Neodiprion lecontei: one gene and its partner. The protein of the gene in region 1 purifies or fractionates together with the protein of each later gene. This does not show direct contact. Links are inferred from orthologs where the notes say so. Each region holds a gene or a part of one and is shown on either strand. Other genes may lie near its edges.

Region 1 (4,178 bases):
TGTATTGATATATTTGTAAATAAGATTACCCATGAACATGCCATATGCAATTATCGGAATTTGAGAGCGTTATCAAAACAAATTATGCACAGCCAAAGTACCATAATATCGATCGATTTAATTAGGATATATCACGGTATTTGGAAACTGAATACTATTCTTTACCCGCTGCAATCACTGTCCATCTCCATCGTATTTAATAATAATAACTATTACGAGAAATTGAGGAAAGTTAAATGATTAATATCAGATTGTTTACAGTCGAATAGGATTGCAAGAGCTATAACGGTATTTATATTATCTAGAAATAATTTGTTTATTACTTGGGAGATGCGGTTGAAAAACATTTGTCTATTGACAACATGTAATAGATTAGCGAGCTGGTGCAGACAGACCAACTTTTAAAAATCAAAGTAGTACTTTACATTGTCTTGTTTGCGGAATTTTTTATACATATGTTGGCATGAAAATTTTTTTCACACACATGTGAAGACTTCACCTTTGACTGGAGCTCGTAAATAGTTTAACTTTTAACTTATCCATACATGTATTTTTGTATTAATTATTTTAAGATTTATGAGATCTACCAAAATTGATCAAATTCTTTAATTATAGAGCGATTAAACCGAATTGAAAAATTTCCAAACAGCATACCTTGTAGTACTAGAGTGTGCTTTTTAATATTGTTATATTGAGTAAATTTTTTGATACTAATATTTGCAAATGATATTTTATGTACATTTTAATGTATTCGAACTGAATAATCTATGTATATAAATATATTGTGCCTTATATATGTTAGATTATATATATACATATATGTATGAATATACATGTATATGTATGTATATAAATAAAGGTATTTCACATGTTAAATAAAATTCAACAGACTGTGTCTTTGTAAAAAAAAAAAAATTAATAAAAAATATTCAAAGTACAGATTGAGTATCAAATTTTAATTACGATTGCCAAAGTTCTGTAACATATAATTACTCTGTCATTGATAATATTTGATAAATTTAAATGAATAAAAAACATCTATCAAAGAAGCTGTTTGAATTATAGAATTAATTCATTCTCAAGATATTCCTTCAAATTGATCTATCGTATCCCTTGCAATAAACATTCAAATTTTTAACATCACAACGAGAACTGCAATAAGTTTTATAAAAATGTGTGATGAAAAGAAAAGTTTGAAATTGAGATTAAAACGTGTAATTTAGTCGGTATTTGTCATCACCGGAATTTCAATCACGTCGGTGAGTGGAAGGTGGGTAGTAATAACGTGTACTAAGAAAATAGTATAATCGTTGTACGCTCAGTGAGGGAGAGGCAAAAGTCACCCTCATTGCTCTGTACTCTCAAGTGAATCTCTCTAATTGTAAGCGACAAACTACGAGGCCTGTTAATTAAAAGCCCCCTGACATGGAATTGAACTCACACATTCACGTACGGATGTGTGCGTGCGTACATTACGATACGTCATAATTTGCGGCCCGCTTGACAATGAACAGACACGGCAAGAACGACGACCTGAACGATACGAAATCACGCGTCAGGAACCTCGTCTTAAGATAAGTCTCGTCACGTGACTTTCAGCTCAGTTTTATACGTTCTAACCCGTTCAGGTGACAGTGCTTGCCAGGAGTCGAAGAGCTAATATCAGCTGATCGTACGTACCTATAGACGATATTTACTACGTCATAGGGTAGCGCAAATACCAAACGTGCTGACAAAGCAGTTCGTGCCGAATATTAAAGGTTTCATTCAGTTTTTACGTCTCGTGTTGCCAGTATCTAGAAGGATAATAGTTTTACGGAAATAATATCAGAATGGCAAGTGTTCAGCGTAACGAATTATACGACGATTGGAAGAAAAGAGTAAGTCGCTAAAGCAAGAAACGCTGTATACTCGAGCATTCGTTCACCGTATGCGTCACGTTCATACCGTCGGAGGTTACTCCGAAATGAATTATTTTATCAAGGAAACCAATCTGTGGCACTAAGATAAACGGCATTGTTTACAGGCATTCCTTGGACCGCTTCCACATGGCTTTCTCAGAGTCGAAGAAAGCCCACGGCAACAACAAGAGGCTGCCGATCAACAAGCCGCTCTGGCGCTACAGCACCATCTCCAAAGTGCACCGCCCGTGGTAGCTGCACGCATGGGCAGACTGAGCGTGACGATTACTCAGGTTGGCGTTTTGCAAAATTAGAGTCCTCGATACAGAGCATCAAATATTCAGTACAACTAGAAAACAACCTATCAGTCGATGATCGTACTACCAACAACAAGAACAACAACAATAATAACAAACCATTTCAAAATACAGGCAAAATTGGTTAAGAATTACGGCATGACCAGAATGGATCCTTACGTCAGATTGCGAGTCGGTCATTCCATTTATGAAACACATACAGATCCAAACGGAGGGAAAAACCCGCACTGGAACAAAGTTTTGCAATGGTAACACACTTGAGGAGCTTCTACGTTTAAACCTTACAAATGATTAGGATAGATATTTTTCACTGATTCTTATCGAACCTGTTGTACAAATCAACTTATGATTTTTTTTCATCAAATTCGGTTTGGTATTATTGTCGTTATTTTAACTATTACTTATTTCAGCTACCTTCCACCTGGGGTAACGCAAATATACGTTGAAATTTACGACGAGTGTTCGTTTATGATGGATGAACTTATCGCTTGGGGTCATATAGAAATACCACCCCAAGTAATTTTGGCAGGAGAGACTCACGAGGACTGGTATCCCCTTAGTGGAAAACAAGGGGATAATCAGGAAGGCATGATTAACATGGTTTTCAGTTATTTGGTAATTTGAAAGGACTGAATTTATCTTTTAAAACTTTGCGTTACCTCGTTGATCCATCAATAACGGTTGGCGCGTTTCTTTTCCTACTATTGATGAACGACGTTTAAATTTTTTATTCAGCCTACTCCTGGTAATCCATACATTGGTCAAACGCCAGTAATGATGGTTCCTTCGACTAATTTATGTGGTATGACACAATATGCACCGGTCAATGTGTATACGACTCCACCTGCCGTCGCTGCTGTTCCAACTGTTGATCCGAGTCAGAGGGCAAACGCAGAAATTGAATTGAGACAGGTAATATGGATTTTGTCAGTGTTGTCATAGAATGTTGGCAAAGTTTAGCGCTAACTGTATTGGATTTGTATTTTACAGATCGCAGAGATGTTCCCAAACGTTGATACCGAGGTCATTAAGTCCGTGTACGATGCGAATCAAGGAAAGAAGGATGTGACAATAAATTCTCTGTTGCAAATGTGCGAATAAATGTCAAAAAACCATTGTCATATTCAAATTGCCATATCTGTATTTTCCGCTGAAGTTGTATTCCATTTTAATTGTAATATATTTATAAATTATTATAACGGTTATTAATTTTACTCTTGTCTTTGTTACATACGTAACTGTTTTAAGATTCATATTTCAAACTTGCAGAAGAGATTTTAATTTGGTGTAATTACCATTGTACTGAACTACATAGGTCTTTAGTTCAAATAGGGTTCATCTCGATTTTATAACTCATTTTACTAAAAATTACGTGCATAAATATAAATATTAATATTTGTATATAATGTTGATTAAATTAATCAATTAAAGAATAATAACAATTTCTTAAAGTTTCGATACTTCAGAAGCTTATAAATCCTACATGGATCAGTGAATCGTTATTCCAATAGTTATCTGCCAATGTTAATACATTAACGTTATCACTAGGCATGTGATTCATTGCTCCCTGAGATATGAAATATTGTTTCCAACTTAAATTGTGTTATTACGAAGAATTATCAGATTCTCCATACTGACATGACTGTGCTCATCTTTACTTGGAATGTCGATCATGCTGATGCGATAACTTATATTAATAGACGTTTACTTATAACTTAAATTGCAATCATTTCATAGATTTGCACGTTTTTAAGCTTTAAATGTGGGATCAGAGCATATAATAAATGAAAAAAAAAAGTTCTTTCCACAGAATACCATACCCCATAATGGAATGCGAGTCCCCTCCTCCCTGCCCCCCAAGGTTGGTGACAATTATTTCAATAATACCTGAATATAAATGGACCCCACTAAGTTTAAGTTGGACAAACATTTTTTGTATTCCACCCAACACCGACAAGCT
Region 2 (5,799 bases), on another chromosome or scaffold:
GAAATAAACGATGTAATATTTATGCATAAATTTATCACGTATAAATACTTTTAGATTTTAATATCAGTGTACCAAGCTGGGATACTCGTTTTAAAATAATGTAATGTAATTTTCAATAGCTCCAAAAGTTAAAATTATGCCAAGCAGTGGTTTGGAACTTGAAGCATTTGACAGTCTCTTTCACTTCTAACAGCACTGAAATAAGAGATGAATATTTGACGAATAACAAACGTAATTATCTATCTGAGATATCATGATAATGCTTAAGGAAAAAAATAAACACAATTCTTACTTAAAATTAGTTTGAGAAATTTGTTTGAATACGCACTTAAGGGAACTATTTATGTCCATAAATAAAGTTTTGGTAGACACTAATGCACTTTACATCAGTTTATCGTATTGTGTACATAAGCTCAGTTGCAACATATACAGAAGATTGTTGTAAAGAAAATTCTATGACAGGATCATTTCTATCTAAAGCCCTGGGTCAGTGAAGCTGACAAGCCCTGACAGCAATAAGTTGTAAGAGAATAAAAACAGGGCTCAAAACTTCAGAATATTCCAGACTGCTTTGACCTGACAATTTTTTGCAAAGTAAATACTTGAAAACAAAAACTAACAAAAGAAAAGTCAAACTCCATAGTGCTCTAAGTATAGCACTTTTCATTACTCCATCCATTTGCATTCTTATGAAAATAATTGCACAAAAATATGTGTTCAAGCCATCACCGATAAATAATGGCGAGAATATAATCCACCAGCCTCCATTGCCTGCGAAATAATTGTTATCTATCTTCATGGCTAGCAAAATCGTAAATATTGTCAATGATACAAGATTGATCCATATTTCAAATATCGTTAAACCCAGCCAGTGCACTAATTCGTTGAGGGAAAATATCATCTTGAGGAAGTTCACAATGAAGAAAAAACAAATATCAAATATGGAAATTAAGCTTCTTCATTGTCTCATAAAATATAAAGCTTACATCCAAACACTACCTCAGACTGAATAAACTCACTTAAAATTAATAGTATGTGTTTATTTGAATGTCTCAAACAATGCTGTGCGGAACACTCGAATATGAATGGCTGAATTTTGCCGTTGATTTACCTCATAGTCAGCGTCATCTGTGATAGGCTCAAAATCATCTATAAAAGTCAAATTAATTATACCATTAATACTCAACAATTCAATGTTCAAATCCTAGCCCAGCTTTACCTACCAGTTATATCTACAGTCGACGTATTTATGTCCAAATCGACAGTGCCATGGTGATTTTCTTTCAATTGTAAGGCCAAATTGCAAGCTCTGCTTACCGCAGCACCAAGAGCATGAATAACAATTTCTTGTTCACCGGAATCCAGTAGTTTTTCACATTTGTTCAGCTGAGCCTTAAACAGAGTCGATAGTATTATGAGAAATCATGCATAATTATATTCTTGTTTACAATGAAGCAACAATCGTGCAAAATATAAGCAAGAATTTATAAATTCTGATAGCTGGAGCGTTGGAAATTGTAATTACCAGAAACAAGCTGAAAAGAGAAGGTACGAGACTGGTTTACAGTGTTTGTCAGTTTTCCAACTCCACACCATGGATATTTATATAAAATAATTGAAAAATGGTACGGAACATCATGTGATTTAAACGCACCAAATGAGGTTAGGGTGCCTGAGGTTACCTTGAAGTTTGTTTTGTTGGTGATATAGAAGTCCTTGTCACTTTTCGGTAAACGTGGCGGTAATCTCTTTCTTATAACATGTTCGTAGGTGGGTCGCAGTTTGATCTTAGAGTCCTTGATTGAGCTTTCTGTCAAATTTTGTTGACTCGATTCAACTTCGCTTTTCGCAGCAGCCATTGTGGCATTTCTCCTGTATCCTGAGAGGAGGTTATGCGATTGGCAATTCCTATGGAGAGAGTTGAGATTCTGATTACGATATCCAATCGTGCGACATGCGTGCGACTAACTTCGACAGGCAAAATGCATCAACATAACATAACCTCTCACCTCGCAGAGACCACGACGGTGACAGAGGCGAATCACGAATTGTCGTTGGTCGTATTTTCGGATTCCGTTTTGTGCCTGAAAAAATAAAACCAGCAAAATTCAGTCGCCGAAGGAGAATAGAGATTATCATTCAAACATGAAGGAGCCAGATTTGGATCCGAAGAATATTATTAAAAGCAGAGAATCGCTCTATCGGCTTATGATCAGGTAAGCAAATCTCAAATTTTTCACTACTTCAAACTTCTCATTACACGTTTTCGTTATGTTCAGACACCATTGCTTCAATTTGTGTTTTCGTAAAAAAATTACGGATAATTAACTAAATGGTTATTCATATCTTATTGCAAAACTAGTCATTTCATACGTCCCTTAGAGGGTTTAGAAAAACTGATTTGACAAGGTATCCAGCAATGAAAGTTTATACACCATAATTAGGGATATCGGAGGAATCGGATTTTTCTAAGAAAATTTTCAGATATAGAATATTTGCGAAAAATACTTCACTAATTTGCTAAGTTTTCCCAACTCCCAGTGACATCTTGAAACACCTTGCCTAACAATTACAGACTGTGATATCACAATATTAGGCAGAAGTTGATTTGATTTTCTCTTTCATTTACATATCAAATTGTAAGAGGCACAGTCTCACAAATCCTGCTGTTTACACATTTTTACATAAGCGTATGACTGGTCATTTTGTCGAAGTAATGAAATTGTGTTTACTAATCTATAAAGTGGTCTTAGTTATATGGAAAACATATTTTTCAGCCAACTTTTCTATGATGGTCATCAAACTCTGGCGGTTCAATTGTCGAACATGATACAAGCTGAGCCGCCTTGCCCACCTTCAGATAGATTGTTGCATTTGATGTTAATCGGTGCTGCGCATGAGCCAGATCGTACAAAAAAAGAAGTAAATAATCTACCGACATTTTCCAATGTCGATAATACTCTTGGTCCTGGTTTAGATTTAGAGTTTGAAACAGAGGCTCAGACGCAGGCACCAGAACCGGCACAATATGAAACGGCGTATGTTACATCGCACAAAGGAAATTGTAGAGCAGGAGCATTTTCGGCGGATGGACAGCTAATTGCCACAGGCTCCGTCGATGCCTCGATAAAGATTTTAGATGTTGACAGAATGTTGGCCAAATCTGCACCGGACGAAATGGCACCTGGTGATCAAACTGGGGGGCATCCAGTGATCAGAACGCTGTACGATCACTTGGAGGAGGTGACTTGCTTAGAGTTTCATCCCAGGGAGCCAATACTTGTTTCCGGGAGCAGAGACTTCTCAGTCAAGCTCTTTGACTTCAGTAAAGCAAGTGTTAAGAAAGCTTTTCGTACTATAACAGACGCCGACCAGATCAGATGCTTGTCGTTTCATCCGACTGGTGATTTTCTTGTTGTTGGAACAAATCATCCTGTCGTTAGATTGTACGATGTAAATACGGCACAGTGCTTTGTATCTAGTATACCCAGCCATCAGCATACGGCAGGTATAACCAGCATTAAATATTGTCTGGACGGTAAGACTTACGCCTCTGCTGGTAAGGATGGAAGTATTAAATTATGGGATGGTGTATCCAATCGGTGTATAAATACTTTTGTCAAAGCACACGACGGGTACGAGGTTTGCTCCGTGACGTTTACAAGAAATGGAAAGGTATGTTTCTTCTTTAATTTATAAATTAAACTGACGTCAATAATCGTGACTAAGGCAAACACAGCTGAGAATTATATTTACACTTTGCTGTCTTTGTGAATTTCAGGGATGTCCTTTCCCATGTCACTAAAGTGTCTTGGTAAAAAATATGAATATAAATTCTTGATATTCATTTTCAGTATTTACTCTCATCTGGAAAAGATTCTTTGATTAAATTGTGGGAACTGTCAACGAGCAGATGTTTGATTGCTTACACAGGTGCTGGTACAACAGGTAAAAGGTTTTCGAGTCTCTTTGATCTGGCACTTGAGATGTTAATCATAATTCTTGGTACATGTCAAAGTTTTTCATTTACGCGTGATCCACATTTACCAATAGATTAAAATTGTAACTACTTACAAAATAAAGGTTGAATGTAGTGGTCATTGTCATTTTCAGTCAAAATCGAAGTGTAAATCACGCTTATGTCTGCGAAACGAAAGTTCGTGCATTTTTGAAAAAAATCATAACTTGTGGTCATTTTTAATTATATCTTGTATTTTTTTCTCACAGGAAAACAGGAGCACAAAGCTCAAGCAATATTTAATCATACTGAAGACTATGTGATGTTTCCGGATGAGGCTACAACCTCTCTTTGTGCTTGGAATTCCCGAAACGCTTCCAGAAAGCAGCTTTTATCATTGGGTCACAATGGCCCTGTCCGTTTAATTGTACATTCTCCGACTGCTCCGGCTTTCTTAACATGCAGCGATGACTTTAGAGCAAGGTTTTGGTTCAGGCGAATGCCTACGCATTGAGGTGCGAGTACCAAAAATTAAATTAGGACCTTACCTTATTTATCATGGGAACATAAATATTCTAAGGAAATTTCACCCTTCGACATTGAAGGTACTGATATTTCTTTGCACGTTAGCATTAAGATCGTCATAAAATCAATGTCATTATTTTTCCTTCATTTTTTATTCGCAATTGATTTACTAAATTCATTGATTATTTTCGCTTTTTAAGAGACGCAATTCTTGGCCCGAGAACGTATATGAATCTTAATCTCGGTATTAATTGCTGAATTGAATACAGATAAAGCTTTGGATTCATCCCACTTATGTAGACAAGATGAAAATGGGAAACAGAGTTTCACCAGAATAATATATTTTTTCTGATTTCCCTCCACATCTATTTGATGAAGCCAACTTTTCCATAAATAAAATGCAAATATTTGTGAACGAAAAAAAAAACAATTATTCCTAGGAATAATCAATATCGTAAGTTAATAATTTGAAGTTATTTCGTTTTATTGTTGTTTTTTAAATTTTTTTTAGAGATAAACAAATGTATTTTTTTTCGATAACTATACAGTAAAAGTATTCGCAAGTACATAACTAGTTTTCGAAGTATTCACGAAAATTTTGAAAAATATGTTTAAAATACTTTGTACACCATTTGAAAAAGAAGCGTCAAAAATATTCACATTACTTCGCAGCTCTTACTATTTTTAAGTACGAATGATAAAGCGGCGCGGGAAAAAGCCGCATGCGGGAGCTGAAATGATGTTTGAAATAGAAATGTTTGAATCGGCGCAAGCGAACCCGCGGGTGTTTATAGTTCAGGAACGCGATGGGTGGTGGCGCGGCTCTCGTCCCGCTCTACGTTTGACGAGGTCACGTGACCCACGCTACCCGCCATCTTTGCTTATCGTATAAACAGTGCGACCGGGCTCCTTGCGATTTCTAGTAGTAAATCAGTGGTTTCCGTGTGTTTTTGAGTGATTCCGACACGAAGAAATGTCTGAGATTAAAGCAGAGACCAAGAACGATAACAGTGTCGACGATGTGTCTAAGGTAAGTACGTGAAAAGCAGTGAAAATCCTTCGTCAAGCCGAGTTTCCATGCCAAGGCGGCGTGTAAGTCCCTCAAATACGGGGCGACGCTCGGTATCTCGAAAATTCTCAACTCTCCAGTATGCGGGTATTAAGCAATTATAGGCTCGCTGTGAATCGTCTAGATGCAGAAGATTAATATTATTCGAGAAGCTCCTCTTAATACGCGTGATGTCATATTCAGCGATTTTTCAAAGCCGTACTATTTGTCCTTTAGTGGCAAAGATGGAGGATGTTTTTTTTATTTG

What was found.
Region 2: the proteins of toll-interacting protein A (region 1) and cleavage stimulation factor subunit 1 purify together in Homo sapiens (co-immunoprecipitation; 3 studies listed by BioGRID and IntAct, with this or other methods). This does not show direct contact. The link is inferred for Neodiprion lecontei from reciprocal best matches to the Homo sapiens genes TOLLIP and CSTF1.

The regions. Positions count from the first base shown.
Region 1 is NC_060265.1:3,483,491-3,487,668, forward strand, and holds toll-interacting protein A, read left to right. Parts: upstream 1-1,653; 5' UTR 1,654-1,832; coding exon 1,833-1,880; intron 1,881-2,026; coding exon 2,027-2,194; intron 2,195-2,332; coding exon 2,333-2,466; intron 2,467-2,628; coding exon 2,629-2,833; intron 2,834-2,953; coding exon 2,954-3,130; intron 3,131-3,208; coding exon 3,209-3,319; 3' UTR 3,320-3,417; downstream 3,418-4,178. UniProt on the Homo sapiens protein: Component of the signaling pathway of IL-1 and Toll-like receptors. Inhibits cell activation by microbial products. Recruits IRAK1 to the IL-1 receptor complex. Inhibits IRAK1 phosphorylation and kinase activity.
Region 2 is NC_060263.1:36,110,851-36,116,649, forward strand, and holds cleavage stimulation factor subunit 1, read left to right. Parts: upstream 1-2,003; 5' UTR 2,004-2,145; coding exon 2,146-2,216; intron 2,217-2,777; coding exon 2,778-3,675; intron 3,676-3,854; coding exon 3,855-3,948; intron 3,949-4,227; coding exon 4,228-4,472; 3' UTR 4,473-5,026; downstream 5,027-5,799. Other genes in the region: transmembrane protein 203, read right to left, coding at 488-901; ribonuclease P protein subunit p20, read right to left, coding at 1,040-1,149, 1,224-1,392, 1,683-1,859; putative uncharacterized protein DDB_G0271982, read left to right, coding at 5,457-5,513. UniProt on the Homo sapiens protein: One of the multiple factors required for polyadenylation and 3'-end cleavage of mammalian pre-mRNAs. May be responsible for the interaction of CSTF with other factors to form a stable complex on the pre-mRNA.